4 linked regions of the Schizosaccharomyces pombe genome follow. Each later gene encodes a partner of the first gene's protein in a complex. Each region holds a gene or a part of one and is shown on either strand. Other genes may lie near its edges. The genes, in order: bet1, sft1, sec20 and gos1.

The links.
Region 2: bet1 (region 1) and sft1 share a complex: the UniProt entries of both Schizosaccharomyces pombe proteins name them as parts of the SNARE complex.
Region 3: bet1 (region 1) and sec20 share a complex: the UniProt entries of both Schizosaccharomyces pombe proteins name them as parts of the SNARE complex.
Region 4: bet1 (region 1) and gos1 share a complex: the UniProt entries of both Schizosaccharomyces pombe proteins name them as parts of the SNARE complex.

Annotation. Positions count from the first base shown.
Region 1 is NC_003424.3:1,048,060-1,056,336, reverse strand, and holds bet1 (SNARE protein Bet1), read right to left. Parts: upstream 4,669-8,277; 5' UTR 4,609-4,668; coding exon 4,598-4,608; exon of another isoform or gene 4,555-4,597; coding exon 4,416-4,554; exon of another isoform or gene 4,367-4,415; coding exon 4,163-4,366; 3' UTR 3,613-4,162; downstream 1-3,612. Other genes in the region: autophagy-associated lipase Atg15, read left to right, coding at 1-196; DNA-directed RNA polymerase subunit Rpb5, read right to left, coding at 695-1,169, 1,381-1,463, 1,528-1,602; mannosyltransferase complex subunit Alg1, read right to left, coding at 1,869-1,991, 2,083-2,617, 2,661-3,093, 3,170-3,353; serine/threonine protein kinase (CK1 family) Hhp2, read right to left, coding at 5,848-6,162, 6,249-6,972, 7,139-7,302. UniProt on the Schizosaccharomyces pombe protein: SNARE required for targeting and fusion of ER-derived transport vesicles with the Golgi complex.
Region 2 is NC_003424.3:409,089-416,755, forward strand, and holds sft1 (SNARE protein Sft1), read right to left. Parts: upstream 5,752-7,667; 5' UTR 5,713-5,751; coding exon 5,596-5,712; intron 5,542-5,595; coding exon 5,383-5,541; 3' UTR 5,157-5,382; downstream 1-5,156. Other genes in the region: Cu-sensing transcription factor Cuf1, read right to left, coding at 1-177; rod1 (arrestin/PY protein 1), read left to right, coding at 2,996-4,786; bun107 (WD repeat-containing protein), read left to right, coding at 6,318-6,597, 6,675-7,667. UniProt on the Schizosaccharomyces pombe protein: Vesicle SNARE required for retrograde transport within the Golgi complex.
Region 3 is NC_003424.3:4,101,293-4,109,534, reverse strand, and holds sec20 (SNARE protein Sec20), read left to right. Parts: upstream 1-4,816; 5' UTR 4,817-4,912; coding exon 4,913-5,593; 3' UTR 5,594-5,802; downstream 5,803-8,242. Other genes in the region: bbc1 (SH3 domain-containing protein), read right to left, coding at 1-2,708; RNA polymerase II CTD phosphatase Rtr1, read left to right, coding at 3,826-4,419; SPOM_SPAC23A1.14C (cystathionine gamma-synthase-like protein), read left to right, coding at 6,580-7,776. UniProt on the Schizosaccharomyces pombe protein: SNARE required for targeting and fusion of Golgi-derived retrograde transport vesicles with the ER.
Region 4 is NC_003424.3:777,910-787,073, forward strand, and holds gos1 (SNARE protein Gos1), read left to right. Parts: upstream 1-3,451; 5' UTR 3,452-3,577; coding exon 3,578-4,126; 3' UTR 4,127-4,232; coding exon of another isoform or gene 4,233-4,427; 3' UTR 4,428-4,528; coding exon of another isoform or gene 4,529-4,795; 3' UTR 4,796-4,893; coding exon of another isoform or gene 4,894-5,235; 3' UTR 5,236-5,510; downstream 5,511-9,164. Other genes in the region: SPOM_SPAC4G8.08 (mitochondrial iron ion transporter), read left to right, coding at 1-374; SPOM_SPAC4G8.09 (leucine--tRNA (Leu) ligase), read left to right, coding at 623-3,247; atp10 (F1-F0 ATPase assembly protein), read right to left, coding at 4,233-4,427, 4,529-4,795, 4,894-5,235; smp3 (alpha-1,2-mannosyltransferase), read right to left, coding at 6,766-7,723, 7,789-7,946, 7,987-8,153, 8,252-8,320, 8,365-8,490, 8,531-8,654. UniProt on the Schizosaccharomyces pombe protein: Nonessential SNARE involved in retrograde transport within the Golgi complex.

The sequences.
Region 1 (8,277 bases):
ATCAACTTGTCATACAGGACAGGAATGTTTATATGATGTTGTAAAGGACAAAGGGTGGCATCTTTCTATTACCCACCATCGTATGCAAACTGTTTTGAATGATGTTATAGATGCATACGAAAAATTACCAGATTGCTCACACACACCGAATTGTGTTGATTGTTACTTGTGGGAGTTTCCTGATGATGATAGTTGAAAGGAGTGGCTGTCCTTTGCTTCAACTTCTGATAATGTCCTTAAAACTTTAACGAACGCCAAACTTTTCAACCTTCACACTTTATTAGATTCGAGTATGCCTATTTTCTAGTATACCTATAATAAAACTTATTTTTAGCTTGCTTAAAATAAGTACCAGCAAGAAGAAGATGCTTTAGTCTTCGGTTTAAACAGTCGTTTGTGCTATGATAACTTAATGAAATATTGATACAAAGCAGTACTGACTATAAACTATCTACTTTTGGTAATAAAAAGTAAACGTGAATGCCAACCCTTGATGTTTTATTGAATAAATCACTAATAAAGTATTGTTCTAAAAACTATCTAATCCAAAAATTTAAGCTCATTGTAATAGCTATAGACATTGCTTTATTCGATTTGAATTTTAAATTATTATGTTCAAATTGAAATTTTTTAAGAAAAAGAAAGAGATGGTAGTTTTGAAGCGATATTTCTAGCCCACATGTACCAATTAAAATTATGCACAAATTCTGTAGCTATTATAACGGCCACTAGTTTCACTTCTTCTGACAATCTTCACAACTTCTCCCCTTTTTAAACCAAGATAACGAGCAACAGGATCAGCTAGTTGAATACGGGGTAATTGAGTTTCACGTAACTTGTAGCGGTCTAAAAGTTCTTTTTTCTCATCCGGTGAAAGAAGAATATGTTTAGGAACAAGCTCATGATGAGTAATGTTGACAATCAAATCGCTTTCTTGGAAAGTCTCAATGGTAAACTGGCCGGTGACAGTAGCAATGATTTTAGCGGCACTTGGGGTCATGGAATTGGCATAAATTAGAATACCAGTTTTATGATTATGATCACCTAAAGTATGAACAAAAGTTCTCATTTCTTTAATACCAACGGAGGGCTCTTTTGCAAATTCGATATAGATTGTGCCTTTATTTGAATCATTGGAAGGTTTTGCGTAAAAACTCAAAGTTGTACGACTAAACGCATTAGCAAAACAGTTTTTAAAAAAAAATTGATAAAGGAAGTTTAGAAGAAGCATGTTCATCAATTAGAAAGCAGATTAAGAGTAAACCGATTTATAAATACCGGCGTCTATGGACATATACGCAGATATCAACAGAATTTGCTTCTATAATCAATCGGATTGTTTAATCCATTATCACGATGGATTTAAATAAATGTACATACTCTAAATTACGACCCATGCCACAATGCATGGCCTTGAATTGATCCAACGTCAAATCTAATTCAGCTTGAGAAACGCCGTAACCCTAAGTTATAATAGTTGTTAATAATTCTAATATGTTTGAAGAAAAAAGATTATCAAATACATACCCTGTCATGGACTAATTGATGAGCTGTCTTCCAAGCACGAAACACCCTAACAATGTTTTTTTCTTCCGCAGACATTATGAAAAATTAATAAGAAACAAAAATAGAAAAACTGAGTTAAAAAATGAGAATTGATCTTCTAAAAGAGATGTTCCCAAAAAGAGGGAGTTACGGCAGAGCAGTGTGCAGAAGATAGCAAGAAAATTTTGGTGGTGAGTTCTAATAATTATTAAAGTATTCGTTAAGCATGTATAATGCGGTCAAATAGTGTAACAACGATTGGATTATTCTATTAAAAAAAAGGTAATTAGGAATTCAGGTTTGAGAATGTAATATCTAAATACTTAATTTGAACCTTGAACTATAGGAGGGATGACCTTGTTCCATTCATCATCCCAACGATATTCAGATTCCTTGAGAGCACCCAGTTTCAATGAATTTAATTCATTAGCATGAGTTAATAAATACTAAAACAGTTAGTTATCGTACGAAAAAGCCAATAAATTATGTAGGAATCGCTATTCAAGGTTTTTTTTGTAAAAAAATCTTTTTTCATACCTGCATTTTTTTCGATAGAGCTTTTGAATCGTTAACGATCAACCCGTTTTCGCCATCATGTACCAATTCAGAAATCGTTGGATAAGAAAGCGCAATAACAGGGACACCACAGCCAAACAAATCTACAACTTTCATAGGCAAGTCAAGTCCACTTGAACTAGTATGCAAGCATACACCAAGATCTGCGCAGGCCATAACCTGCGGATAATCTTCAATACTGAGCCAAGGCATGCAAAAACGAACTTTGTGTAATGGATGCTTCTTAATGTACTGAGAAAATTCTTCCTTCATCGGGCCTTTTCCAGTTATCAGCACCAAAAGCTTGGGCGTATCTAAAGTTTTGTCGTACTCATTAAGAGCCTCCCATAAAATGTAAATATCCTCGTCTGGTGTCCAAGAGGTAGAAGTAATTAAGAGCTTCGTAGAAGAAGGATTGTACTCACAAGGTATTTTTTTGATAGACATTTGCTTTTTCTGTTCATTTTTAATGGGAGTAAAGTGGTTGGGGGGTCTATCATAACATACATAGCAAGGACTTGAAAATGTTAGAGTTGAGCAAAAAGCAAATTTATACTTACTTCATTCCCCAAGTTTGTAAAACATCTTTCATCCGTTTAGAGACAGTCAAATGAGCATATGCTCCTCGGGCCATGTATTTCTCATAAATTTTAAGTAATTTAACAAAGGTATGCTGCTTCCCTAATTTCAACGCAAGTATTGAATATCCAAAGTTATGCCAATCTATGATAAATTTTGTACCACGTAGTATATGAAGACATTGAGCAATGAAGAAAACAGGGATGCAAGGAGGATTTTGAATGAACAGGAATGAAGCAGGTTTTCGAACAAAAAGAGCCCAGTTCAGTGCAAGAAATTGATGTAAAACCTTCAATGGTCCCAAAAACAAAAACTGAAGGCGGTTCTTAGGTTGAAGATACGCAGGAAGTGAAGGAATGGGATAAAAACGAATGTTTTCATGACTTTCGAAAAGTCCTACAGATGACCCGGGGTCTACGACAGTGTTAGTGACAACAAATACACCTAATGTGGTATAGATTAAAATATTCAAATATTTTAGATAACTTACGCTGATAGCCTAACAAATCAACCTTCCATCCAAGTTTAGCGAAGCTAACGGCATGATATTGCATTCTAGGGCTTCTTGCAATATCTCCTAGGACGAGAACAATAATTCTTTTCTTATCCGTCCTCTTTTTTAAATTAAACCATATCACCAAAGATAAAAATAAAACTATCTTCAATACTAGCATTTTGTACACAAACTCACGGTTACTGATCGAATTTCGAAACTTCCGCTTAAGAAAACTAGTTATTAAATACTGTTAGACATATAAAAAGCGAATATCTTCTTAAAACAACTTTCTATAGGTAGGTGTACAGCGCTGATGGTTTACGTAAATATTATTGTGCCCATAATACACTATTAAACAGCAACCTACCCAATATGTCGAAACTCGAAATAACATGCATTTAAAATACAAAGGAAAAGGAATAGAAGCATGATTGTACTCTTAAAGAAAAAAAAAAAATTTTATTTCAAGTATTGAAGTAAAAGAACACTAGACGCAGAAATAATGTAATAAGCAAATAAATTTAAGTAGTAAGATTCGTATCACATACTTAAACATTCCATACTTCAAGCTTGGGAATAGAAAATGCAAAAGACATGACCTGCATGCCGATAAACTTGAATAAAACTCAAATGTAATAGTTGCGTCAATTTACAAAAATGGTAAGACGACGAGTGAAGGGCTAGTATCATGAATAACAGATAGAAACTTATAATAACAGGATGTAATAAGTTAAAAACAAAGTCGTTAGGAAAACAAAAATTGAGGATTTGCGTTCCTATCGTGACAAACCACTTGTGTGGAAACACCAAAGGTGGATGAATGTTTTTTTTCTATCGATAATAAGTTTAAAATAATCAGAATGAAAATGTTAGAAGAAAAGAGAATGAAGAAACTTCAAGTATACAATTTTAACAGATTATACACGCCATAAAATGAATCATAAAAATGCTAACTCTAAAAAAGAGTAAAGGTAGTAAGCAAAATGCCTAAAATCTTACCAAAACGAGGATAAGCGCAACGAGGCAAAAGAAGGCGAGCCACATCCAAATTGAAATTCCTCCATTCTTCGAAACATTCTTTAATCGAGTCATTGTCCCGCTCAAAAGTGACTTGGTCGAGTCAAATGAGTCGTTCATTGACTCCATCAACTTAGTAGAAGACGTTATCTCAGTCCCAATATTCATAGTAAGCTATTAAAATTAGTTAGCATGTTTTTCCTGATGATGGCAAAAATCTTACCTCTTTCAAAGACTTGACTTTTCCAGTTAACTTTGAAATCCGTTCATCATTTTCATTTTCCAAGGAGTCTAAATGCTGAGGAGATTGAGACTCATACAAGGGCAACATATCGCCATTGCGTTCTTTTCTTCTACCGAATCTAATGATTAGTTAGACATTGATTGATCAGATTTAGTACATACCTTGATCCCATTCTGAAGCTTTTTTTAAAATCTTTCCCTTTACCGAATATGAAAAGTATTTGGTGTAGCGCAACTTCCAAATCCTAAGATCTCTTTGTTATGTATTGGTTTTGTGCGCAAAGTCAGCTCATCAAATAACATGCGACGCAACTCAGGAGTTGCGTGTAGAGGTAACACATTGTTGTACTAAGTGACAAATCTCATTTTGCTCTGTTTTTACATTAATCTAAACAATTTTTTTTTTACCGCAGACGAAACAGAGATGATAGTTATGGGTTTAGTAAAAATAAGTATAGATCCCTTCTTGAGCCTGTAGAATATTGAATTTGAGCATCAATTTTGAATGATTTTTCTTTGTGGTGCTGATCCATAATGTGTTACTGGGGCAACTGTAATGTAAACAAATCAACGTGCTTTGTTTACATTTGTAGAAGTGAAATACCGGTGGTTAAAATACCACAGAAAGCAATAGATATGATAATATGGCAAATCGATGGATATTTTTCTTTGCTACAGCCGAAATTAAATAGTATGTAAAACTTGATGATCCAGCGGTCAACTCCAACAGAGCTAATATTTTTTACGCTACTTGCCCATAATACAGTGTGAAAAATAGCGATCTATTTAATCGATGAAATTTATCATTTATTAATGAATTATTTCTTATGCAATTGATATTATATCTTTTATTGCAAAGGTAGGCAATAAAGACTGGTTTAGAGCCACGCAAATGATAGTGTAAAAAAAGAAACATGCTCCTTGTGTATATTACTTCTAGCAATGGAGGTACAAACTTTTCAGTTTTGAATAAAAACGGAATGTAAGAACCAATGGGGAACGAAAACAATAAAATAAAATTCTGGGAAGAAGAAATTTAGAAATGAATAGCACGACTGACTCAATTCTTTGGCAAGAACTTGACCGGAACGAGCTGAATATAAACAAACAGCACGATTTAAATTTTGTCCTCTAATTATGTCTTTTCAGTAAAGCATGTATGAGGTTTACACAATATGTCTATTTAAAAAGAAGGCATTAAAACTCAACTTCTAGGCAAAATGGAATAGCTCAAAACAATAGCTAAACCTCAAAGTGTATTAGTGTAGCAATCCGGCCATCCATAGACAAAAAAGAAAGCCAGGAATTATTAAAGATATTTGTGGAACTTTAAAACGTCAACAGATGGTTTGGAATTTAAGACTAAAAGACGTAGTGTAAGAGAGGAATTGATGAAAAGTAAAGTCAAAAAATCAAGGAGCTGGTTCTTCATCTAAAACACGCCTCAGTTGAGCACTGTATTGAGGTTGCAACGAAGATGGAATGTATTCATAATCTTTGTTGGGAACAGGAGAACGAAAGGAGAGAGGAAGAGGTGAGGGAGAAGCACATTGAACAATATTAGTGGAGAAAGATTGTGGAGTCTTTGGATTCCGCTCAGCAGGTAAGGGAATGGATGAATAATTAGGAGTAATGGGATTAACCGGTTGAGTTTGTGACACCATAGGAGATGTAACCTGTGGAGGTGCTGTAGCAGAAGCGGCGGCAGCAGCAGCAGCTCGCTTTTGCTAATAATAGTTAGTCAATCGAATTTTCAATCATTTGTTAAGGTTAAACTAACGTATCACCTTATCATTTTCTTTTCAAAACTTACGTATTTTAATATCATCCAGTCAAAAACATAGTCATACTGGTATCCTTTACGAATAAGTAAATCACGAAACAGCTTTCTCAAATAAGCATAGTTTGGCTTCTCGGTAAACGAAAGCTGACGAGTGTAACACATGTAAGTGATAAACTCTTCGGGAAGACCTTTGCAAAGGACTTCCAAAGGAGTGCCAATCTTGGTATCACGTATCCGTTGATACTTTTGCTCCTTTGTATCAGCTTGTAAGCCTTGCCAGGGCAAACTGCCGCGACAAAAATAAAGTAAAACATAACCTAACGATTCGAGGTCATCACGGCGAGATTGTTCAATACCAATATGGGTGTTAATACTAGCATATCGAGCCGTTCCCGTAAGATTCTTATTATCTCGATATGGAATATGAACATGAGTTTTAAAATCCCTGTATTTTTTCGCCAATCCGAAGTCAATCATCGTAACAACATTGCTGTGCTTCTTCATTAAAAAATTATCAGGCTTAATGTCTCGATGTAAGAATGACTTGGAGTGAACATATTCAATGCGACTGATGAGTTGATCAGCAAGTAAAAGAACCGTTTTAAGAGTAAACTTTCTTCCACAATAGCAGAATAAATCTTCCAGAGAAGGGCCTAATAAATCCATGACCATAGCATTATAACTATTGGTTACACCGAACCAGCGAATTGTGGGTATGCCAATATTTCCTTTAAGAATATTATACACACGAAACCTAAATGTTAGAAAGAAAAAAGAAAAATAACCAAATGGAGTAACTTTTGCTTTTCCTTTTTGGTTGTAAAACATCGAGCTACGGTTGATAGATATAAAGAAGAAATTGGAGTTCCGAAAGAAATCCAACTTATACTTAAGTAAAAAAATATTAAAGCACTACTTACTCATATTCTAACTGATGATGACGAGCCTTTAAAGGCTCCAATTTCACAGCAACTTGTTCTCCATTTACCGTATTTAATCCCAGGTAAATTTGACCAAAGGAGCCAGAACCAATTTTTCTACCTATACGATATTTATTACCAATCTTAATGTCAACAACCGTCATTTTGCTAAGATTCTAATTCACAGAGATGACTGTGGTTGTTAGAATCGCATCATCACAGAAATCAAAGAGGAAGGCAAATAGAGCGCTGCAACGAGCTATATTTGGAGTAGAAGGATGTTTTGAATACATGATATATACAATGTAATGTGACTAATTTTTTATTTTACTAAGCAATACTTCAATGTCTTTGTTTACTTCCCTCGTCAACTAATTTTTTAAGATGCTCGTTTCTAAAAGAGTGGAATATTTTATTTAATGTTTGTACCATGATTGCCTTAAGGCTGTGGATGTTGATTGTTTCTTTACATGAGACTTAATAAATTTAGTAAGCAAAGCGAATTCAAATTTGTTGGTTCATATTTTTGCAGTGACTTCTACTGAACGCGGATTTTTTTTTTTCTTTTCCGTTAGAATAATATTTGTTTATTCCGAAGTAAGCCGTTTGTGATGTGGCTGAAATGTCACGGAATCATTTGCTCCAACAGATATTTTACCCTTCAATTGTTTGTGCATTACATTGTAGCATGAAGTACCTGAGTGGGAGCTTGTTCTGACTTTCTTCCGAAAAGTACAAAATATGAATGACATGTGGTTTTCTAGTGGAAAGAAAAGAGGTTTGGATTAAATTTATTGATACAAAAAGCAATAATGTTTTGTTTACATTATGAAGAATGTGGAATTCTAGCATATTTTTTCATATCCTCAAAGAGAATCACTTCAAAGTGATTTGTTTTGTAAACAAAGCAAACAAATCCAAAATGATTTTCTATGAACGTTCAGGATTTTACTTACAGAATCATATTGAACTGCTATTCTCTTTCAATAGTTTTTCCGATGATTCTTTTTTGGAGTGAATGCAAAAAACGATCGCCTACATGGCGAAGTAGTATTGAAAACGAAAAATGCTAATACTGCTTTATTTTTAGTAAAAGCCTCAGTTCTAGAGAATACAATACCAGCTTCAATATAGAAGTG
Region 2 (7,667 bases), 640 kb from region 1:
ACACTTCACGTGTAAATGCCTAGTAATTCTAGCGATTCTACATTTTTCACATTGACTGATGGGACGACCTTTAGGTCTAATAGGAAAGAGTTCACGGTCATTATGTTTGCAGGTGCTAGAGCGATGCCCACGAATGCACTTCATGCATGCCATTTTAACGTTATTGATTACAACCATTTTGGAATATAGGATGAAAGAGGATTGCTTTAATGACAAGATTTTGGTTAAAACAAATTCACGTTCGAAGATGAATGACCAAATCTCTCAAATGGAAGCTCAATGGGAGGATGTAGAAGTAATGAATAAAACCAAGAAATAAAAATAAAAATAAAAAATATTGGATTATCAAATAAGAAATTAATGAACTTATTTATATAGATGCTTAGTAGAAAAGAAAATCACGAACGAGGAGAGAAGAAAAATTGCATGCGACATTCAGTTTTGGACAACGACGATATTTGGAGCAATTGATTAGTTGAAATTAGCCACTTTTATAAGAATGAAGTGTGTTTCTTTTTTTTTTTTTAAATAAAAAGTAAGTAATTTTTACAGATCAGTAGAACTTTTTTGCTCAAACCTGATAGCAGTGTGATATACTTTCCGGATGAACTTAGGTTCACCAAATTACAACAAAATCGCCCAAAAAGCAGTTTTCAAATATTAATTAACTTAGGAAGCCAAATTTTCCTTTACTAGAAGTATATACAGTGTTCACAATGTTTTATACCAAAGCAGATTTGTTTGGTTGTCGGAAACTGGGTGTTGGCTTAACCACAGCGCAAGCTATGCCTTCCGACAATATGTACGAAGAAGCTGCTTTTTCTGAAGGCAGTAATGATACGTGACAAGTTTGCTTAAAGATTTAAACTAAAGGAAGATCAAACTATTAACAGTTTTAAGATGAAAATCGATTCTCAAGGGATTCGAAAATTTTTTTTTAAATTTATTGAATAAATAAATACATTTAAGAAGACGAGGGTATGACTTTGAAGCTTTTGAGCTGTAATTTGTAATTAAATATACATATTTTTTTCAATTTGTTTAAATTCGTTCATCATGTTAAGTCCTTTATACAGTTTATTTCTTTTATACTTCAAAAATTTATTTCCTAAATTTGATTTTGCCAATTGTGCAACTTTTTACATTACTGTTCGCGATGTAAACATTTAAGATTAAAATTTTTTTTAATTTTAATTTATACAAAGAAAATTTGCTTTAATGTCGCTATTCGAATTTATGAACAAATTTTTTCTCTTTACTTACAGATTATTTTTTGGTTTCCAACTTATACAATTTAGGTACTATTAAAAAATAAAAAATAAAGGATAAAGCTTTATTTAACACCTAGTAACTACGTTAGTACAACTTTCTTTCTTATTACATGCATACGTCTAATTATTTACCCAAACATTTGGTAACCTCCTAACCTGCCTTTGTGGAGAAGTGACTTGACTGCTTTGCTATACAAACTAGCGAAAGTATTACCTTTTTTAAAAATCATTAATGCTCCATTACGTTAATTCAGAGATAGTGTATAATTGTAGCATAACACTGGATCAGATTATTGTAGCAATACGTTAAGTGGGGGGATTGGATTCAGCAGTTGCATTTGATTAGAGGTTTGTAATCTGGGTTTAGTCTTAATTTCTTGTAATTATTCGATGGATACGTAACGATATTTGATATTATAGAAACATCTAAAATAATATTTTTTTTTAATAGCTCTACAAGTTGTGCAACATTTATAACAGAAGCAGGAAACACACTAGCAATGTAAAAAATAATAACAATGAGACGTCAATGATATCCACATCTATAATTCGTAATTGTTCAGAGGCACACTTATAAATTAAAATGAAAATAAACCATTCCTCGATATATATCAGAGTCTTGCGAATTGATTCCAAAAACGGTAATGCATTGTGAATTAAAAGTTTTGCTATAATGATGGAAAGTTCAATGAGGCTATAGAAAGCGAGTCACACTACACGAGATTCAAATAATAATACCAAAAAGGTGCTATTGACTATTAAGCGTGTCTCAGGATTACTGTCCTTTACTAATCATAAAGCTTATTAAATATTTGGTTAACACTCAAAACTCAAACTTTTAATGCTGTATTATTCTAGCCACTCATATTTGCTATATTGTATTTGTACAATGTGGGATACTTAATTTCAATTAAACTGAAGATTAAGTTGTGCTAATGTTTATAGAGTAGAGGGGTTAGTTAAGAAAGGAGTTTGTTATATATCGATGGTGAATGAGAGTCGATTGAAGGTATCAATAAACAGCAAAAAACTGAAAAATTCAAACGCATAGCACTTATTTTTACTATGTGATGTTTAAGAAAAAATGTAATGAAAAGTTTAAAGTGGGGAAAGAAGGTTCTTACCAATATTCTGCACATCTGTCTCTAGTAAAACCCAATAACGTACCTTGTCCACTGAATCAAGCTTGCCCGGGTATTTCGTTGCATAGCTATGAATGAGGGATACGAAAACAGTCCCGCTTAATATATAAAAAACACGACTATTTTAAAAATTTTATTTACTTCGTACAAACTAGTGAAACATCTAAAATTGTTTAAAATTTACACAATAGTGTGTATAACGAAACTAGCTAAACTTTGTTTATGTAATGTGAGAAAGTATGTAATACTATATTACAGCAGGTTGCTTATAAAAACGTCACCACACAACAGTCCTTTAACCTTCGCTTTGTCTACATTATTGAAGTTATAAACCCCAAGAAAAAGTATTTTTGCATTTTTGTATACACAAATCAAATTTTAAGGGAAATTTTTTAACACGGTACTTTTCGTTTTTTTGTCTAATTGTTTCAGGGTAGTACATTCTCAAATAATCCAAAGCCGGGGTCTTTTGGGTTGTAATAGTTATTTACATAAAATTGTTGACTAAATATTTCAGAGAGAATTCATTATTCTTACTTTTGAATCCCTTTTCAAATATAAAATTGGTTCCTTGTGTTAGAGATGAATATTCTCTCAAGGAAAGAAAATGTCGCTTCCTACTTCGATATTCGTGTAGCTGCAGAGCATGATCTTATCGTAATTCAAGGCCTAGCAGACTCGGCAGAACCGACACCACTGTCAGGATCTGTAGTTCTGTGTCTCAATGAAGCCATCAGTGTCAAAGCAATATCTCTAAAACTAGTGGGAAAATGTCGCATCTCCTGGTCAGAACCTTCTCCGACTGTAAGAGGCGGCCAAAGACACAATAAGCAAGAATATGTTGTTTACGAGAAAAACTGGATCTTCGTTCCTTATACGGGTGCCAACCGTACTTTACGTGCTGGAAACTACGAGTATCCGTTTCACGTAATGCTTCCCGGTGATATTGCTGAATCTGTCGAAGGTCTTCAAAGTTGCTATGTTGTTTATCGTCTTAAAGCAAGCATCGATAGAACGGGTTTAGCTAGCAAAATGGTGAAAAAGAAACACATCCGTCTTATTCGAGCATTGCCTGCGGATGCCATTGAATATACTCAAACCATTAGCGTTGATAATACTTGGCCAAACAAAATTGAGTATACCATCAGCGTTCCAACAAAAGCCTATGCAATTGGGTCATATATTCCCATTCATTTTGTATTAGTTCCGTTGCTGAAGAGGCTAACTATTGGAAAAATCAGTATAACCTTGAAAGAATACATCACGTTGCATGTCGCTCATGGATATAACGGTTTACCGGCATCGAAAGATGAAGTCAGGACCGTTCGTTCTCTTCAAACCGAAGAATTGGAGGAGTTTTCCGATCACTATGAACTTACAAAGAACTTGGAACTACCAAGTTCTCTTGTGGAATGTCTTCAGGATTGTGATTTGGATGGAATTAAAATACGTCACAAATTAAAGTTTTCCGTTTCCCTAAGAAATCCTGATGGCCATATATCAGAATTAAGAGCTGCATTACCTGTAGTCTTGATGATACCTCCTCAATTATTTGGCGATCGTGCCGAAGTAGAGTCGTTACGCGAGAATTTTGAAAGTTTTAATCAGCCTTTACCTAGCTATCAAAACAGCATGTATGATCGTCTTTACGATGGTTTGAGCTATTCCAACCTTGATACACCTCTCCCTAGTGGCGCAACTACACCAAGGCGACGCGATTCTATGGAGCCCACCTATGCTTCTAATGAAGCTCATAGGCGACAACTCATTGCTGGTTTGACAGAGTTGGCTCTACAACAACAACCGCAAGGAAGGAGCCCCAACGAACATTCACCGTCAAATCATCCTGAAGATTTCCCGCCTTCTTTCAGTTTAGGCTCTAATCCATCCAGTGGAGCTGCCTCTGCTGTAATTACTAGAAACCCTTCAGAAACTAGTTTGGCAGATCTGAGCAGAGTCCCTTCTTATAAGGAAGCAACAAGATCAGCCGTTCCATTAGAATCACCCTTACAATCAACATTACCTAGTTATGAAGATGTTGCACGAATTGAGCACCTTTCACGTCCTCCATCACCTGGTATCGTTACTCCACCACAACGTACATCTCCTTCATTTTTTGTTTCTCCAACTGAAAGTACACGACAATCCTTGGATAGTCGTAGGTCATTCGAACACTCCACATCTTCTTCTTCGGGTATAAGCCCATCTCACAGTAGTGCTTCTTTAGCTCATCTTTCTCAAGCCTCCAATCCAAATGGATCGTCTTCTGCCCCGCATAGGCCCACATCAGCTCGTGTAGGAAGTCACCGAAACGCACTAGACGCTTTAAGACGGGCGCGTATGCTTCCATCTGGATTTTCAAGAAGAAATTGAAGTTTTGAGCACTATTTTTAAATTTTTGCGCAAACATCGGAAAAAGAGTATTCATTACCTGTACTTCCGTACATTTGAATGCTGTGTTCTTAAAAAAGCCTAAATCAATACAAACATCTCATGGTCTGCATGCACAAAGCTTGAACGTGAAGCTAAGGTGTTAAAATTTTTATTATTATTTATTTTTGTGCCCTTCCTTTTGATCTTTTTTTTTTTTTTTTTGCCGGTTGAAGGTGAATGAATACTTAGTTTGTGGCACAATGTCATGATTCTATTCAATTAGTACTGCGTCTCTTTGCTTAAAACTCTTTCCTAAAAGTGAGGAATATCAAGCTTAATATGGATATACAGTCATAATTAAATTTTTTATTATTTTTACTTTTATGGTGGACTTATTGAAATTTCGAGGAAGGAGTAGTATTTCGTTAAGAATATTTCATGTAATTCTGCGCTTATATTTTCAAATTTATCTTCAGAATATTCATCGATAAATTTATTGCCTATAAGAATTCAAAGCTTGTACATTTTATAATTTTGAAGCAGGAGGTTATGTCATTATATCCGTTCCTTTATGTAGCATTCGCTTTCATGTCGTGTTAAAAAAACCATTTGGATGCATAGTAGATTATTAGTATACTCCCTACGATTGCCAGCACCATTGTCATGATTCTTCGTCGTCCGGCACTTCGAACCACACGGAAGAAATTTTCGGTGGATTTTTTAACAGAATTTGAAAGTCCTGAAAAGCTTTCAGTCTATAATAATACAGGTTAGGTAAAAACTCAAATTTTTTTTTTTAAATTACATACAGCCCGATCAATTCGAGTATAGTCATTGGCACGGGAATAAATATCGTAGGTTACGTTTTTCAAAGAAGAAACCTGCCCAGACAGAGTTTCCAAACGCCGCTCATTTTGATCATTCATTATAGAAATAACTTTTACAAAAATGAATGTACATACGTTAGCATCTTTCTATATCACTTGGAGTACTACCAAAATTTAACGACATTTAGGACGTGGTGATAAATCCTTTAACGAATCTCCTAACTTGATTCTATTTTCGTCGAGCTCAAACATAATGTTATCTACAATTCTTAGCATCAGCCGCCTAATTATTGCTTTATCAAATGCCAATATCGATCGGACTACTTATTAGTAGGTAAATGGTTTGGAAGTTCATCGTTTCCATCCATTTTTAATGAGCAGTAGGATCCGTTCTTTAACATCTGAGTTATTTGAGGAATTGCTATTCATCGCTAAGTCAAAACATATAATATATTTGTATAGGTACTCGCTACCAAAATATTTGGATCCATTACTGTTTCCTGTTTCCAAGTAAAAGGGTTTATTTATCCGCTGCGTTTTAGACTCAGGACACACTATCTTTCTGCAATACTTTTGAACCTGAATTCATTCAATAAATTGAATTCGACATCATATAATATAAATTTTTATTTTTTACGTTTGAATTGGATTTTTTGTTTATAATTGCATTGTTTTAAGAGATTAATAATTCATTTATTGTTCTCATGAGTGTTCGGAAACGGTACAAGGTTACTTATGTTCTTGATTCCTGTAACGATCAACTAGGGCACCGTTTGGATGCTAATTGTCTAGTGCTAGGTCGGTACTTTTCAGAACAAGGGTCAGCACCAGTTACTAGAGCACTTTACAGTGGTGGCCGAGATGGACAGCTTTTCGGTTGGGACATCGGGTATGATTATGGTAAAGCTTCCCAGCCCTTAGCCAAAATCCAGGCTCATTCTGCTTGGGTAAATGATATAGCTTTAACACATGATTCCGAAGGAGGTAAGCCTTTGAAAAATTTAATTATCTCTGGAGAATAGCGGTAGCCTTATAGAAATTGACGTTCTAACATTTATTAGTGATATCTTGTTCTTCTGATTCAACGGTGAAACTCTGGAAGCCACATGTCTTGAATGCTTCTTGTTTATCAACAATTGGCGAGCATACCGACTACGTAAAGCGCGTAAGCATTCCCAAATATTCCAAGAGTCCGTTAGTCGCTTCGGGTGGGTTGGATAAAAGGATAATTGTATGGGACTACAACGTAGGTCAAGAAGTTATGCGATTTGAACAGTTACCTGACTGTTCTCTTGTTGTTGGTCCAAGATCTGGTGTTTACTCGCTGGCAGCGAATAACAACATAATTGCTAACGGCGGACTACAAAAAGACATTCAGTTATGGGATTGTGTTTCCAAGAAAAGGATTACAGATTTAGTCGGTCATACTGACAATGTTCGAGATATTCTAATTAGTGATGATGGCAGAACAATTCTCACAGCCTCTTCAGACGCTACAATAAAGCTTTGGTCTCTAAGGGCGCAAAAATGTTTATTCTCTTTCATAGCTCATTCAGACAGTGTATGGGCATTATATTCTGAGCACCCAGATTTAAAAGTATTTTATGCTGGTGATCGCTCAGGCTTGATTACTCGTACTGATATAAGAAACCAGCCTAACAACCAAAGCTGTACTGCAATATGCAAGCAGGATGCTCCTGTCTCTGACATTGTTGCTCGTCAATCTTTCATATGGAGTACTAGTCGTGATGGCTCCATTCTTCGTTGGAAGGATGAGCCCCTCTTTAATCAGGACGTGGGAGCAGCATTATCTAAGCATACCTCATCTCATCTTTCTGTATCATCGGACTGTCCCTCGAGACATTCTTCTGACATACGAAATCATAGCTGTCCAACATTATATCACGACGATGCTGAGGATATATATTATGATTTGCATCATACTGAGAGCTATTCTAACATCAATTTAACCAAAACCCCTGATTATGTTATTCATGGTGGTATTGGTTTGTTAAAATATCGAATGTTGGGTGATCGAAGGCATGTCTTAACTG
Region 3 (8,242 bases), 3.1 Mb from region 1:
GTAGCAACATTTGATATGGTAGGATGACCTTGAAAAGTAGCAGTACTAGGAGTTGGAGCATGTATTACCGTAGCATTAAAACTTTCTTCCTCATAAGAAGGTTGAGGTTCGGGAGCAGGAGATTCAAGATAGCTATGAGGTTCGTAAAAATCCACATTTAAACTATTAAAATCCGCTGGAGGAGGAGATGGTAAAGGATGACCGATAGAAGAGCTAGGCGAGGCCATTTCGTCGGGTAAAGCGGGGCGACCACCAGAAGTTACAATAGAAACAGGAACAACATTTCGAAGTTGGGAACCAGTTGAAGGTCTGGACTGGTGACCACGAACACGATTTGACTTTTTTGGGAACATAAATTCATTATCTCCAAATTCGCCAGAGGGCGTCTTTGGCAAAGGAGGTGGGCTAAATATACGTGGAACTGCTGGTAAATCATCTAAATCATCATGTGCAAGACTGGCTAAAGTGTCGACTTTACCAAACCGTAAGCCAGGCGGAGGAAGAGCACGCGCACTGGTGGAAGGGTCAACTTCATTCTGCTTATCCTCGTCAATACTGTCCTCAGTGACCTCAGAAATGCGACTGGGAAGTTTGCGCTCTATGGGTTCAAACGACTTGGAGGTAAAATCGGGCGAATGCCAGGTGCGAGGAGGCGTAATTGGTGAGTTAGCAGCCGATTCTACATCAGCTGTAGCACCGGCACCAGCTTCTTTCGGGGGATCAATTCCATCAATTACTTTACGAACAGCACGAGCAGGATCCAGCAAAGAAGTTGGGGAAGGAGTTACCACTGAAGAGCTATCTTGTGGAGCCATGAGACGAGTGACTTGTGGAGCAGAAGGCTTTTGGGGTACCGCTTCGTGTGCTTCATTAGAGGCAAGTGTTTCCTTATCAAAGTTAGTAATAATTGGAGGAGGAGAAAGCACTTTTTGCTTCTCCGGAGAAGGAGTTTTATGAACTTGCTGTTCGGAAGTTTCCTGAGTTTCTGGGATTACTGGTCCCTTAGTCTCTTCCTCATTATTGGGACCCTCAGCAACAATAGCTTTATCTGCATCGTTGGAAGGCTCAGTGACCTTTATTGGTTGGTCGGCAGACATAAGGCCTGGTAAAGGCATTATATTCCGGGGGGTATCAGGAGTATCACGGTATTCTGCTGGTTGGTTTTGAGAAGGTTCGGAAGGAAGTGGACGCTCCTCCTCCTTCGGTGACGGAGCCTGCTGAGCATTCGATTGTTCAGTAGGTTGAGTAGAAGTGGAAGAAGAGTCTTTTGGTGGAGAAGAGTCATTAGTGGTGCTCTTTGCTTCCTCGGAGGATTTGGCAGGAGTTCTCCTCAAAGTGTTTTTCCGTCCAATAGGTGCAGCTAGACCAGGCAATCCAAAAACATGCATACCAATACCTCCACTCATTTTTGCCATTCGTTCGCGTAGGGCAATTCGTTTAGCTTCTTCGGGATCAATTTGTTCTTCCTCCTGCTCTTGTTCTTGTTCTTCCTCTACATCTTTATTCTCATCATCCTTTTCCGATGGTTCATCCTGGTCTTCAGGTTCAGATTCGGGTTCGTGAGTGCTATAGGGACTGTGCATCTCATCTGACTCAGCATCGTCATATTCATCTTCCTCCTGCTCACTGATTTCGCCCTGTGATTTACCGGGCTTTTGAGGATCCAAGTTAAGGCGCTGAGAAAAGGCTCGATTCAAATCAGTAAGGGGTTTAGCGGGCTTTGAGCTTGAAGCTGGCTCATCGGAATTCGCAGTATTGGAAACAACAAAAGGATCGTCATCCTTTGCAACTCGCTGGCTCTTTGATAATTCTTCTGCCTGTGAGTCCGCAGACGGAGATTGATGGGAGGACTCAGTAGCCATGGTGGAAGAAGCTGCGGGATGAGTGCGTTCCAAAACGGTTATTGCGGATGCAGATGCGTTATCAAGATACCTTAAAGAGTGTTGGGTAGTTGCGATGTTTGGTAAATCAGTTGGGCACTGTGAATGAGTACAATCGACAAGAAAAACTGAATTTGGGTTAGAGGGGATGACGGTAGACGTGTTGGTGGAAGTAGTAATGTGGGTAGTGGTGGTGTTGGTTACAGCAGCACCGGTAGCAGCATCCTCACCACCAGTAATAGTGTGAGTAGCGGTAAGTGGTAGCGAGTCGTTCTCAGTGGAGCAAGATGGCGTCTCTTCAGATATGGTATATGGAGCTGAGAATGTATGCAATTTTTCCACATTTTTTAAAGAATGTGGACGCGAGTTGCTGTCGTTACCGAATGGCGCACTCAATGTATCCACATCAACTATCTTCGTAAGTGCTTCACTTGTACTGTCAATAAAGTCATTAGCTGAAAGATATGATTCTGTATCGGCACCAAGATGCTCTGTATTGTTGGAAATCGACTTGATGCTACGTGTAATAGAAGGAGCATAACCTAAGGAAGAGTTGCGAGAATGAACAGCACTAGTTGGCGTAGGTTGATGAAGAGCCATTTCGCTAGCACGTTCTACAAACACAGCATCCTCTGCTGGCTCGGTAAAGTCCTTTGGAAAGGAGCCAATTTTCCTGTTACCGTCCGAGTCCACATATGTTCCGGTATACCAGTCGCCGTCCAGATTACTGACGACGTCGATAACTTGGCCTGGATCAAATTCCAAGTCATCGGAGAAGCTGCTTCTATAAGGATAGAGTGCAACCACTCTTGTGGGAAACGAGCTCATCGTGGAGCCTGCGATCCGCTAATACTTTTTTTAAGTACAAAGAGAGATCAGATAAACAATGAACCAGTATAAAAAGAATGGTACCATTCAATATACAATACACTGATTCTTTTTTCCTAAAACACAGATATACAAAAAGCCAAAAAAAGAGAAAACAAGATACCAAAGATGAAGGCTCCGCCGATTTATTTTACCACTAAAAATATATACAAATGATAGCGAAGCTGAACGTCATCGTTAATCTCTTCTATTAGGATATCTAAGCCAGTACACTGTCATTTTGGTTCCTAAAGGGCACGCGATTTGTGCAGACAAAGAAGTTTGGTCAATCTTAACAGCAATAAACACCCAAATGATAATATCGCACGTGAAGAAGCGACTGACTACATGTGAGACGATTTTCAATGAATGAACATTGTGGGGAAAGGATCTGGGGAATTCCCTTCCAATCGTAACATCTTGTTGACAGTGATTCGTTCGACTAGCCAAAGGTAGCGTAATGCACTGTAAGATTATTGGGTATTATTTTGCTTATCAATGTTGATTGGTTTTTGTTATTTAACGTTATAATAATATTTACGCAATTGGATCTGGTTTCCTATTTTACATAAGGATACACTAGCAATCCTAAAACGAAGCCACAGCATCGTTGGTTTGCTATATTTACGATTACTGTGTGGGTGTGGGGTATGGTATGGATATGGATATGAATCATTAAGATTAAGGACCAGTTATTTACTAGTGGAAGATATGAATAGGGTGGATGTAAATTTATCATTATTATTTTTAACGGTAAAATGATTTTCTTAAAGAGACCTACAAAACTTTCTTTACATGATTGGTGCAACGCATGCTTTTCTTTATTTTTTTTCCTTTGTCCACACTCAACTGAGAGGGTAATTTCTATCAAAATTTTTAGTACCAAGGCCAACGCACTGTCTTAGTTCGCTGTAAATGAATTGCGTAACTCAAGAACTCTTTAACAAAAATTGCACGGCGCTAAAGTATTTTTACGATGCTCATTCCTCCTTCCAATGCTTGACTGACTCATATCTGCCTAATAGCGATTTTTAAGACCTTCTGTTTTCCAGCTGACTCCAATATATCCAATTCAGATATGAACAAAAAATCAATTCTCAAAAAGCCGAAAAATGCTCAAAGCACTCAAGAAAAGCAATTGATCACGTGGTCGAAGAGTCTTATAGATGAAGCACGCAGTCGACTTCAGTATGATTTTTTTGCCCTCGAATGGATTGAAAAGCTGGTTGATCCGGTTTCCCTAGAAACTTTAGAGGAAGCTCGTAAATACCTTCGAAAAAGTGATTACGATCAAGTGGTGAAGGAGCGTAAACTCGTCAATCTGTGCGGTTATCCCGTTTGTCCTTATGAACCTAAGCAGCAAACTAGGTATAAATTAGAAGATTCAGGAATGAAGGTCTACGGTGGACTCAACTATTATTGCTCGAAGGATTGCTTTCTAAAAAGTTGTCAATATATGGTTGAGTTGAGCGACGAACCATTATGGATACGTGAAGATGCTCGCGAAGCTATGAAACAACATCTCGATCCTCGTCAAGATGAAGCATTTCGTAAAGAGTTGGAAAACAAAAAAATTGAAGATGTACGCTTACTCCTGCAAGCGTTGCCTGTGGGTTATAAGGCAAAAGTTGGTGAAATCGTTGAACATCCTTTGGCTAATGAACAATCATAAAGCAAATGGAAGTTTATCAAATTTTTTCTTTTCACCCCAGAATATGTATAATATTTTTGAACAAAAAAGACACCGACTTGTGTCTAGCGTCGTTTGAACTAGAATGAAAGGTTGCTTCATTCTACAGTTGCGTGCATAGTAACATTTCTGTGGTTTTCGACTTTTTATTAAAGATCGATACAATATTCCCTTTACCATTTACACTTTCTAATTTATTTCACCTTATTGCCTTCTATCTTTATTGTCTCTTTCTCTCTCTTAGCATCTTTATTTCTCGTTATTTATAATTCCGCATTTGATTTCTTTTCCTTATTCTATATACCGAACCTTTCGATGTATAGTCTTATATTCACCTTCAGCTGTGCTATATTGTTAGTGCATCCATCATTCGTTTCCCACTCATCATCATTTACCTTTATCGTTCTTTCCTCTTGCATCTCATAATACTATTTCTCCTTTAACTTGTTCAATAAAGCAGAGAACATAGCATTCGATGGCCGACGTTCTGAATGCACTAGAAGAAAAAGTTGTTGAATTACAACAGTCAGAAAGCGTTGAAGTTATTAAAAGGCATTTTCGAGAGTTTAGAAAAATATGGGAAACTGCAAGGGTAGAGCTTGAATACTCATCCATTCAGCTAGACTCAGTTCTACGATATGAAAAGGCTGTACAAGAATACATTCGGTTGAACAGAAGATATCGGAATAAGATTGCTAGTGGTGAACCATGGTTGCCTATCGCACAAGAAATAGGTAAGATTGTAGATGAAGAGGAAATTACCTCACCAAGTGATGGTTCTCTTCAAAAGCGTTCAATGGATAACTCTGGTTCGTGGCAATCTGATGATATTTATCTTACAAGCGCCAGTCAGGTCACGGCGGCTATGCGTGATATTCACGCACAAATGGTACAGGCAGTGGATATGAGTGCCGAAAATGCAATGGAGTTGTCTTCGAGTACCAACTTGTTAGAAACTCTACAAGAGAAATATTTTGGTGTAGAGGACGTTTTATATACAAGTAAACGGATAATCAAATCGCTCAAATTAAGTGATCGAAGTGATTACTTTTTAGTCGTCTCGGGATTTGGGTTCTTCATATTTGTGGTTGTCTATCTTCTCTTCAAGCGAATTGTCTGGCCTATTCTTTCTATGTTTCTTTGGTTTCTTCGGTGAGATTTTGAAAATGCATTGTTTATTAAAAAGAAAGGCGAGATTAAAAGCAAGGCTTTTTGAGGCTCGTTCCCATCGAGCTCGAAGTATCTATACGAGAAATTATTTTTTCGCCCTTTTTCTCAATTTTATTTTGAAAAAGTCTTTGTAAAGTAGTTCTTATGTTTTAATGTTTATCTTATACGATTGGTTTTTATTTACGTGTTGTTCTCTTTAAATAAAAACGTTGAATGGCGTAGAAGTTTGCTGATGATAGTAATGCTATAGTATTTGTAACTCAATGGGAAACGCCATTCCGTAAACAAAATGAGTTCTTGCTCACGAAATATGCGACAGTCGGCATGCAGCTGCATTTCAAATCATTCTTATTGTATATGCCTCTTTGATTGTCAAAACCATTTGTTTGACCACAGTACAAAAAGAGCAGTATTCTTTGAATTCCTAATAAAAACTAGAGCGCTTGTTAATTGGGAAACGCATCTTGTTAAGTCTGTCGCATATTTTCTAGGGTCCGGTACGAACGCCTAGAATCTGAGATCGGATAGCAAACTCCATTAAACCTATAAACTTAAAACTAATAACTGCTTATGTAAAAATTCATTAACCAAACGTTCTAATTATTCAGTGTCCTGGTTCTATTTGTTTGTGTGCTTTCTACTTCAAATGCGTAATATAGTGTTTACAAGCACGTAAGCATAACGATATAAATTAAGGCACATGCCCCGCGATGTCTCACAACAACTTGTCTTTAACCAAACTCTTTACGTTAGTTAACGGAGATATAAGTCTTTAAAAGAATTATCATAACTAGGTATCTGTCGTTTGATCTCGTACTTATTTCTTTGGTCGATTGGTGATTACTAGTGTAGGAGCATTCAATTAGATATAAACATTATTAATTCCGTAAACGTGTAAACACTAGTTTTCTCGAAATTCATTTGTTGTGACCTTTCTGCATTTCATCTCTGTTTTTTTTTCTTTAGTTTAGCATGACTCACACTCCTTCGTTCGATCTCTCTGACATCAAGTCCACATTAAGTACTAATGTACTGCATGCCGATGATGCTTATGCATTAGAAAATGATGTGGCTCCTCCCATCCATATTTCTACTACTTATACTTATCCCGGTACTCCTGACACTCTTCAGCCTTTCACCAAACTAGCGGAGGAAGACTTTCCATACTATGCCCGTATCAGCGGCAACAATGTTGATCGAGCTGAAGCTTCGTTGAGCAGTGTTCTTGGTGCACCTTCTGTTGTTTACTCATCTGGTTTGGCTGCTATTTACGGACTGTTGTCGTATTTAAATCCCAAACACATCGCCGTTCATAAACCCGGTTTCGGTGGTTATTCAGGCACAATCCAAATTATTGCACGCATCAATCGTCTAACCGGTTTAGAAACCTCATTTATTGATGGCAAATGCGATGCCATCGGTGAAGGTGATGTTATATGGTTGGAAACTCCTTTGAATCCTTTAGGTATTGCCTTTGACATTCCTTTTTACAAGGAACTGGCAAAAAAGAAGGGTGCCATACTTGTTGTGGATTCTACTTTTGCACCACCCCCTATCCAGGATGCACTTGTTTTAGGTGCTGATTATGTAGTTCACTCGGCGACTAAATATCTAGCCGGCCACAGCGATGTTTTGGCTGGAGTCACAGCCTCGAAAGATAGATCCAAGATCCTTGATTTGAAAGCAGATCGTGCTTATCTTGGCACAATTTTACATCCTCAGCAAGCATTCTTACTCTTGCGCTCTCTTCGTACCTTTCCTCTTCGCATCGCAAAACACAGTGAAAACGGATTTTTGGTTGCCCAACATTTGAACAAGTTGGCTACCGATGAGCAATTTGCTACTAGCCTAGGAATTGATAGTAGCCTGATTTTGGAGGTTTACCATAACTCCTTGCAGACCAAGGAATTTGTCGCTAAAAATTTGACTGGCGGTCATGCATCTTGCTTTTCTGTTCTACTTAAATCTGACACAGTTGCTAAGCATTTGTGCTGCGAGTTGAAATATTTCCATCACGCTACTTCGTTGGGTAGTGTGGAAAGTTTGATTGAATGGCGAAGAATGACGGATTCCAAGATTGATCCTAGACTTGTTCGCTTGTCCATTGGTATTGAAGACGCTGCTGACTTGATTGCCGATTTGAATCGTGTCTTTGCATCTTTAAGTTAAATCATTGTGTTATTTGCTTGTTTTCTAATGTACTAATGAATATTGTAATTCGTTCCTTTTGAGAACATTTTTAATTCTTGCTATCTTTCTTTGCAATTTTTTGTATTGTTGTGTTTCACGTAAAAATTCACCTTGATCGCTATTGCAACAGTAAAGCGAAGGGTACGATAGAATCGGTGAGATGTCATGTTCTAGGTCATCAACCCGATCATTTTCATTCTTTAACCTTCGAACATGCTTGGCATTAACAAAACCCATCAAAGCCTTTACTTGTTCATAACTAAGTATTCCCTCAATTGTCCAGGATGGACTTTTCAACCCTTCATGATTCAAACTATAACCAAAAAAGAACTCACGTATAAAAACTAAGTGAAGGTACTTTTTCTCTTTTCTGTTAAAGAATTTTTCTAAAAAAAACGATTTAAAGAAATTAATAATAAAATCGTATCAACCTGGACTCAATAGC
Region 4 (9,164 bases), 270 kb from region 1:
CTACCACCGTTAGTTGGTGGGTATGCTATGAAGAATCGAAAAAGTACTTACAAAAGCAATCCAATTGGGATATCTCAGTAATTGCTCCAATATGTTCAGCTTTAGGTACTGTTGTAGCTACTACTATCTCAACCCCTCTTGACATTGTTAAAACTCGATACCAAGTGGCTACTTCATCAGCTATGCGTAAAGCTGAATACGGCCTCCAAGCTGAAAAGGAACTGGGGATTTTGGAAATAGCCAAACTTCTGTTCTCAAAACATGGAGTTAAAGGCTTTACTCGTGGGCTTTTTACGCGAATGTGTTATATTATGCCATCAGGCATGATCTCTATGTCTGTATTTGAATCTTTCAAAAGTAAAGACATCGACTAAAAAATTCCTTTTCTATGTTTTTTTTTCATATGGCATGCCTTATTTTTGTTATACCGTGAAATAACCTTCGTCTCGTTTAAGTTTAGTTTCTTATTAGAACATCCATCGTAGCATTCGCTAAAAACACAACACCAACGTTGGATAAACATTTTGGTAAATGAATATAATTTAAAGTATTTATTGATTTAATGATACCTGTTTAAAATATTTAAGAGTTTAAAGACATTGTTTCCACTGCGTTTCATGAAATGTTGAAATCCGTCGGTACTAATGGTCGGAAAGTACCTAAAATAGCTTCGTTATGCAACTTTTTAAAATTTAATAAAAACATACACAGCAATCCAGATTTCTTGGCAATTGCTGAAAATTGGAAGTCATATTGGAAATCCCATTATCCGTTCGTCAAAAATGACAAAGGAAAGAAGAAGTATATACTAAGTATGTTCCCTTATCCAAGTGGTTTACTACATATCGGACATGTTAGGGTGTACACTATTTCCGATATCCTATCGAGATATTATCGGATGAAAGGATACAAAGTCATTCATCCAATGGGTTGGGATGCATTTGGTTTACCAGCTGAAAATGCTGCAATTGAGAACGGGATATCAGCTAGTTCTTGGACGTATGAGAACATAAAAAAAATGAAAGAACAAACTTACCATATGAATATTTATTTTGATTGGGACCGAGAGATTTCAACCTGTAATCCAGATTATTACAAATGGTCACAATATCTTTTCCTTCAAATGTTTCATAAGGGATTGGCGTACCAAGCAGAGGCCACTGTAAACTGGGATCCAGTTGATTGCACAGTCCTTGCCAACGAGCAAGTTGATTCACATGGGAGGTCCTGGAGGAGCGGTGCCATAGTAGAAAAGAAAAATCTTCGACAATGGTTTCTAAAAATTTCAGACTATTCAGATCAGCTGCTCGATGACCTTGAAACATTACCAAAATGGCCTGACAAAGTAAAGAAGATGCAGCGCAATTGGATTGGTCGAACTACGGGTTTTGAAATATCTTTTCCTTTGCTAAACGATAAAGAAACTCTTACAGTTTTCACTACTAAACCTGAAACAATAATAGATGTTAGTTTTATAGCTCTTTCAAAAAACCATAAACTTGTTTTACTAGAATCCCAAAAGGATCCTTCGTTGGCAGAACATCTTCGCAATGAATCCTTACTAGACAAAGGATATCAGCTCCCGTGCTTTGCAAAAAATCCAGTAACTGGCAAAGCTTTACCAATATTTTATGCTCCTTACGTTTTGGACTGTTATGGTACTGGCGCCGTTATGGGCGCACCTATTCACGACCGCCGAGATTTTGAGTTTGCTAAGCGTAATAACATAATATTTTCTAAAGAAAGTTGTATAGGTTCATATTTTACAAATGAGGGAAAAGAACTTTTGAATCATCATGATTCTTCGAATTTAATGGATATCAAGCAAAAAATGCTTCAGCAAAAGATTGTCAGTTACCTTGAAGAGAAGAAATTAGCCAAACGTGTTAAAAATTATAGACTCAAAGATTGGCTTATATCAAGACAAAGATTTTGGGGTACTCCTATACCAATGGTTCACTGCGAAACCTGTGGTGCTGTCCCAGTCCCTGAATCTGAACTTCCTGTAAAGTTGCCTGATCTTGATAAAATATATGAAAAAGGTACTTCGCCGTTATCAAATCTAGAAACATGGATGAAAACAACCTGTCCGAAATGTCATGGCCCAGCAACAAGAGAAACTGATACTATGGACACATTTGTAGACTCATCATGGTATTATTTTCGTTTTTTGGATTCTAAAAACTCGGAGCTTCCTGTAGGTTTAGCAAGTGCGTCCTCTTTGATGCCTGTTGATATTTATATTGGTGGCGTTGAGCATTCAATACTTCATCTTCTATATTCCAGGTTTTTTTCAAAATTCATGAAGGATATTGGGTTATGGAATGGTGATAAATATTTAAATGAACCATTTACTCAACTAATTACTCAGGGGATGGTTCATGGTCTTACTTATACAACGATGTCGGATGAACGAATACTTAATCCAAAAGAAGTCCAGAAAATTGGAGACGAATATTTTCTAATCAGTAATCCTAAAGAGAAAGTTCAACTTTCTTACCAGAAAATGAGCAAAAGCAAGCATAACGGTGTAGATCCGATACGTACTATTCAAAAATATGGCTCAGACATTATTAGAGCTTACATAATATTTTCAGCTCCAGTGGAAGGCGTACTCCTTTGGAATGAAAATGCAATAATGGGAACAAAACGGTGGTTAACCAAAATATGGAATTGTGTTCATCAGTTATTGGAACGTGAGAAAAAAATGTCTGATGCGATGAGACAAACGAAGTTAACTATTGTCGACGATCACAATAGCAGGAAACTCGAATCACAATATAATGAATTTATTTCACAATGTTCTGCTCATTATGAAAATGTATTTTCTCTCAATTTAGTAATTTCTGACGCCATGAAATTGACTAATAATATAGCAGATGCTTTAAAAAATAACAAAGTCAATATCGGAACAATTAAAGCATCTTTGGAAGTGCTTGTGAAATGTATTGCTCCAATAATACCTTGTTTTTCAAGTGAGTGTTGGTTGCTGCTAGGACATAATTCTTCCGTTTACTCTAACTGGCCCATTTCCAAAAATAAAAAGGAGAATATGGAGGAGCCCGTTACTATTCCTGTCCAAATTAATGGTAAGGTGAGATTTAAGATTGAAATGCCCAAACTCAATGATGAAAATGAAATACTAAATTTTGTGCTTGAGACGAATGATGGGAAACGTTGGCTCTCTAATAAAAAAGTTTTAAAATCTTTTGTGAAACAAAAAATCATCAGTTTAGTCACCGACTGAAAGTTGGTTGAGACACGAGCTTCATGTTTCAAAATAATTTTGATATTTACCATAACAATGCAATGTTGGTTGCGTAGTTAATTTAATGCTTAAAATTCATTTTGAATGAAAAATATCCTATCTTAATATCACAATGTTTTCTAGTAGCATAGCTTTTCTATCACTGGTATATTTAGGAATCTCTACGTAGTGGGATACTTCTCTAAACTACATACTAGTAAGAACGTCATCTGAAAGCCACATTAATCAACAGAAGAGAAACGTTTGTTTTAAAATCATAACTTAAGCTACTAATTTTTCTCTTATAAAAATTTGAAGATCTCTTTAGCCATGAAGTCTATGCTTTTGAGAGATTCGGTGAAAAAAGCGTCTCAGTTCCAAAGATCGTTGCACAGTGATCCTAACCAAGCTAAAATTCTGCTAGAGGAAAGAAGGAAGCTTCTTGAAGAAGCCAACTCTTCAGCTGACGAAAATGACTCGCATTCAATGGCTACTATCAAATCACATTTTGAAAGACTAAAACGAGATGAGCAACTTCTTAATGGCGTTTTGAAAAAATATGATGCGAAACAGGAAGTTCTATCTCCTGAAGAATTACGAGATGCACAAAACTTTTTAGAAATGCAAGAGGCAAACTCTTTAGACAATTCTATTAGAGGCACTAATGAGCTTCTTGAAAGAGCTTATGCTACGAGGGAAGACTTTGATTACCAAAATAGCGTCTTAGGAAATGTGACCAATCGCATAAACGGGGCGGCCATGTCAATCCCTTTTATTAATCAAATATTAAGGAAAACCTCGATCCGTCGAAGACGTGATTCTATCATTTTAGCTTTACTCATATCTGTCTTGATGCTTTTGTTCCTTTTTTTTCATTAAGTTGCATGTTTTATGAAACGTTTATGAAGGGCATTGATCCCGCCAAAGTTATGAATATGTCATAAAGGTTTAATTAAGATGAAATAATATAAAAGTCCTTTTACTTTTAACCAACGTTTTTATTTACCAAAAACTTAATCGCTGTCTTCAGGTTTTCAATTTCGACATTAGTTGGATCACCGGTTCCAAGCCAGCGAATTTTGCAGGAATCGTCAATTAAATACACATTTCCAACAAGTTTGTTGTTCCATCCTATTTCTGGGAAACTGAACTTATTGTCGTATGCTGTAATATATTCATTCTGCTAGTTAGCAAAAGGTTATAAATTTTGGAAGTAAATAAATCTATCTTATCAAGCGAACAAACTTGTGAGCAGCTTGGACAAATAATGCGTCTACTTACCCAGCACTTTTCTGGTATTGATCTTTTAACTTTTCCTATAAATATCTTCTGTAGCCAATATTTTATTAGATTGGATTGAACATTTGCATAACGAACTGGCAGATAATCAAATGGAGCTAGATGTTGAATCCAATTCCTACATTGGTTTTCTCCAAACGCGTTGCTAAATAATGCAAAGAAAAAGGGCGAGCCTTGCCAATCTTTATATAGCTCTTTGTACTGATTTCGTAATGACTTCCCATGAAAGTTGTACATCCATAAGGCGCTCTAAAACGTGTCAATATTTTTAAGCAATAAACTAATTTTTTTTCATTCTTATTTGAAATTTCCAGAAATGAATATTACTTTTAACCAATTGTTCATACCTTCTCCTTAAATAATCTTGGAGGACTGTAAAACAGCTTACCATTAAATCGACGAACTTCGTTGAAATCTTGAATAGTTGATCTCTTCATTTCATTCAGCAGCTCCTTCTGTCTTTGCTCAGGAGAAGATGTACTCGCGGGTTTGGTAAGTTTTTCCCATAATGTTGGCTTTTGGACTTCAGAAAGCATCGTCGGTTTTACCAGTAAACCTACTGGAATGAGAGCAGATGGGGCTTTTTCTTTTGTATCATTGAGACTTTTGGTGCTAAAAGAACGCAACTTGAACTGATGCTTAACAATCAACCTCGGAATGACTAAATTTTTTAAATAATTATATGCCATGTTTACCAATTATAGGTAGATTAAAGGGGAAATAATCTTTAATTTATTATGCGATTTAAGAAACGCAAGGATGAACTTAATTATTATTATAAACTTCAATAGATAGGTATAGCAGAAAGGAGCTGTTGTTACAGGTGGAAGTACTCTGACGTTAAAAATTCATATCTTAATTTTCATTTTGGTTTTTTAATTTGTTTTTGGACATTAGTATATATCTACGATAAAGGTTTTCTCCTTTTAATTTCATTGTAATATAATTCAAGACTAAAATTGGCTTTTCATTGGATTGCGAATCTTTCATTGAATACTATCTTTTCAACTTACATTGAACGTGCATGTAAGGATAGGAAATGGAATGCTGAGATAATGAACAATACAAACCTTTCTAATTAATTCAATGTTTAAAGCAAACTCATTTAGCGAAAAATTCTAGCTTATTAAAACAGCTGTCAACCAGGGCGTAGAGATTACAATATAAAGACCTTACTTACCCTTCTTAATGTACTACAATACAAAATCATAGTTAAAAGAGTAGCTTTTTACGTCCCTGCCGACTGTTTATGTAGATGCATGAAAAACTATGAGAATATAATTTAGTAATCGTTTATATAAGCTAATACGCATTAATATTATATTAATTCATAATGCTTAAAAATCAAAGCAATTTCAATTTCCAAGTGGGTTAGAAAGTACTAATGGGGGGTCCATATTCTCTTTAAGACATTACTCACTTGAATAGCAATTATGACTTCGTCTACTACCTCAAGTACTATGTGGGGGGGTTGACCACTTATGAAAGTGAACCTACTAAAGTAGTTAGTGATACAAAAAAATAACTAAGTGCGCAATAATTCTCCGTCAACAAATAAATCGTTGAACTAGTATTAGTATATTGGCGTATGTAAGCTAATATAGTCGTTGTTTGCGTAAAACGAATTCAAATGGCTCCCAATCTGTGTTAATACGTTATGTTATGTATGATATAAGCACATTGAACATATCGGGATGAGTCAGTACTATTTTATTATTAACAAAATTGGTTAGAATTGAATATGACAAGTTGAAGACTCAATCAGCTAAGTTTTGTCATAGATCGGATCGGAACAGGCGATTAACAGTGTTGTGCTGAAGAAAATAGACAACAATATGATCAATAGAATCAACATATAACAATTAATCATCATTCATCGAACGAATGCAAGCTTCGCGATTAAATAACCGCGAAAGATTTAGTGAACTAAATATTCTCTCAGCTTTTCATAAATAAATTAAAATTAAAACCCAAATATATTAGAAAAAAAATTAAACAAATGCCAATGAATTTAACAATTAGATCAGTTTACTTAATAAAAGTTAAGTATTGAACTTTCTGACCCTTAAAACAATAAAGAAGGATTAACAATAAGGATACGAAACATTTCAAGAAAACGGTAACTTCTAATCGCAATTGCTGCAGTATTAAAATGTAGCATGACGAGCGAATCTCAATCTTAAGAGTACACAACGAGGCAAAATGATTTTTTTATGTTGCTATCCCACACTTCTCAATACCGTTGGTAACTCATTAGTAATAGTGTTATTCTCACAAATCTCCTTAGCGGTGAAAATTCCAATTCCATGATTCATAATCAATTCTGCTAGGGGTAACTCATCAGTGTCATCTAAATCAACGTGATAAGGGATGTAATGCAGCATAGTCAAATTTTGAAGATAACTGCTTGTTTGTAGCATAGCAACAGGACACACTAATAAAGTGGATGCTTGAAACTCGGTTGTGTTTTCTTCAGGCAAATTGACGACTTTAACCTCTTCATAGTAAGTCTCCCAAAATTTTGATATCATTTGTTTTGTGGAGTAGTTATAAAGATGAGAGGTATTAATTTGGCTAAATTTTGGACGAGCAAGCATCCAAGTCGGAGCACTATAAATCTTCCAAAAATAAATAGTCGTGGGCATTTCCGGATTAAAATACAAATTACAATTTTCCATGGTTGTTACATTTCTCTGTTCGATAATATTTTTTACTTCCAAAACCGCAGGGATAACACCATTTTGATGCATTATGCCGAAGAAAACTGCCAAAACAACTGCATACATTACAAATAAAAATTTGATCCAATATGAACGAACTAGACATCCAGAGTTCACTATAAAAATAGAGGCTGCGGGTAGCAAAAACCTGGGCTCTTGGTGAGGAAACAGGGATAGTATGAAAACGGGGAGAAGCCATAACCAAGTTGCAGGTTTTCGAACGTCCCAAAGCTTTGGAACAAAAATCAGAGGACCACAAAGGAGTGGCATATTAGTGAAAAAATGTGTTAATCTTGAGTGCAATCCGTGCTGTGACAAATTTTCGATTTGAGAATTGTATTTTAAATTATTCCAAAATGTTATCACAAACACCCCATAAAACTTGTAGTCCTCGAGGATGCATGCTAAGACAGTTGCAAAAGAAACTGAAACAAAAATACATAAGTGCAAAAAGATGCTAATCCAGTTAGTGTTTATTCCATAATATATTTTTAATTCAATTTAAAAATCAAAATCACTTACTCTTTCGGATTGTTCACGTTCTTTTTAAAACATCGAACAGAAAAATAGATATAGGGGGCGATCACAAAAGCTAAAAAAGTGATTCTTGTGAAAAATCCTAATACACTAACAATTGCAAGCAAAAATGTATATAAATAACTAATTTTCTTGTTTAATGGCTGATTCTTGTTAGTTAAGAGTTGCCAGCTATTAACTTACCACACTATTCAACTTCGAAAGAAATAGTATAGTTAAAAAAAAGAAAATCGTTTCAATTGAGTTTGTAAAAGTATGTGTTTGAAATGTAGTAGCCATGAAGGATGAGGAATATAAAAGCAATGCACTCCATCTTGCGTTCAAAGGTACGATGTTCCAAATACTCAAATCTGCCAAAATTAGTCAAGGAAGGAGGAAATAAGGTTTGTAGTAAATTCTGAAATAAATTCCAAATTTATCAGAGCTTAATATTCGCCAATGTACATACCTATTAACAAAGAGATCAAACACATATAGAGTCTAGTGAACAACAAAATAGGATACGGAGAGCAGTTCGCTTTTGGATATGTAAGAATTTCGTTCAATTTAAAATACACTTACATTTGCAAATACACCGGCAAAGCAAGAAAATAGGTAAAAGCATCACATTCAAAGGAACTACAGACCGAATTGGTTTTTTAGTAGTAAATTCCCATGGAAGTTCCACTTTCCAGCCAAATAATTTATCTTTATATTAGTCATAAATTGTTGAAGAATTGTAATATACTTGCGAATATTTGAAACGATTGTAAATGCTCATCCGGATGTATGTATGAGCTGCCTTGCGAAAACCAAAAGCGTAAAATTAGGAGAAAAGTATAAATTATAGCATATTTACGGTTTTTAAACATCCTTAATCTCAATGGATAAAGCACGGGATTTATTGCTTCAGTGTGCAATGGATTACACGATGAAGATATAACGAGATATTCCGAACTATATATGTTTGTTATGAAAAAGGTTTGCTAAGCGAAAATGTAAACAACTCTTGGTCGACGGGTATATGTTTAAGAATACACGAAGCATACAAAAAGTATACGTTAAACTAATGTTTCAGTAAAATAATTGTACTAGAAGAATTGCAGGTCTTATTACATTTTAAATTAATCTAACTCAATACCCAAAACATAATTAATTTTAAACAAATCTAATATTAAAAGCCGTATTTTGGATCAACGATGGGGTAAAATCAATCACTAAGTATAAACAATGTCAACTCTCTTTAAAAAGGGCAAAAAGTTAATAAACTATAAACGAAGCCAAACGTAACATCAAAGATAAAAAATAATACAAAACCCTAAATGCAAAACTGTGCAAATACTTGCATCACATTGCAAAAGGAAATATAGTTAGACACCCAT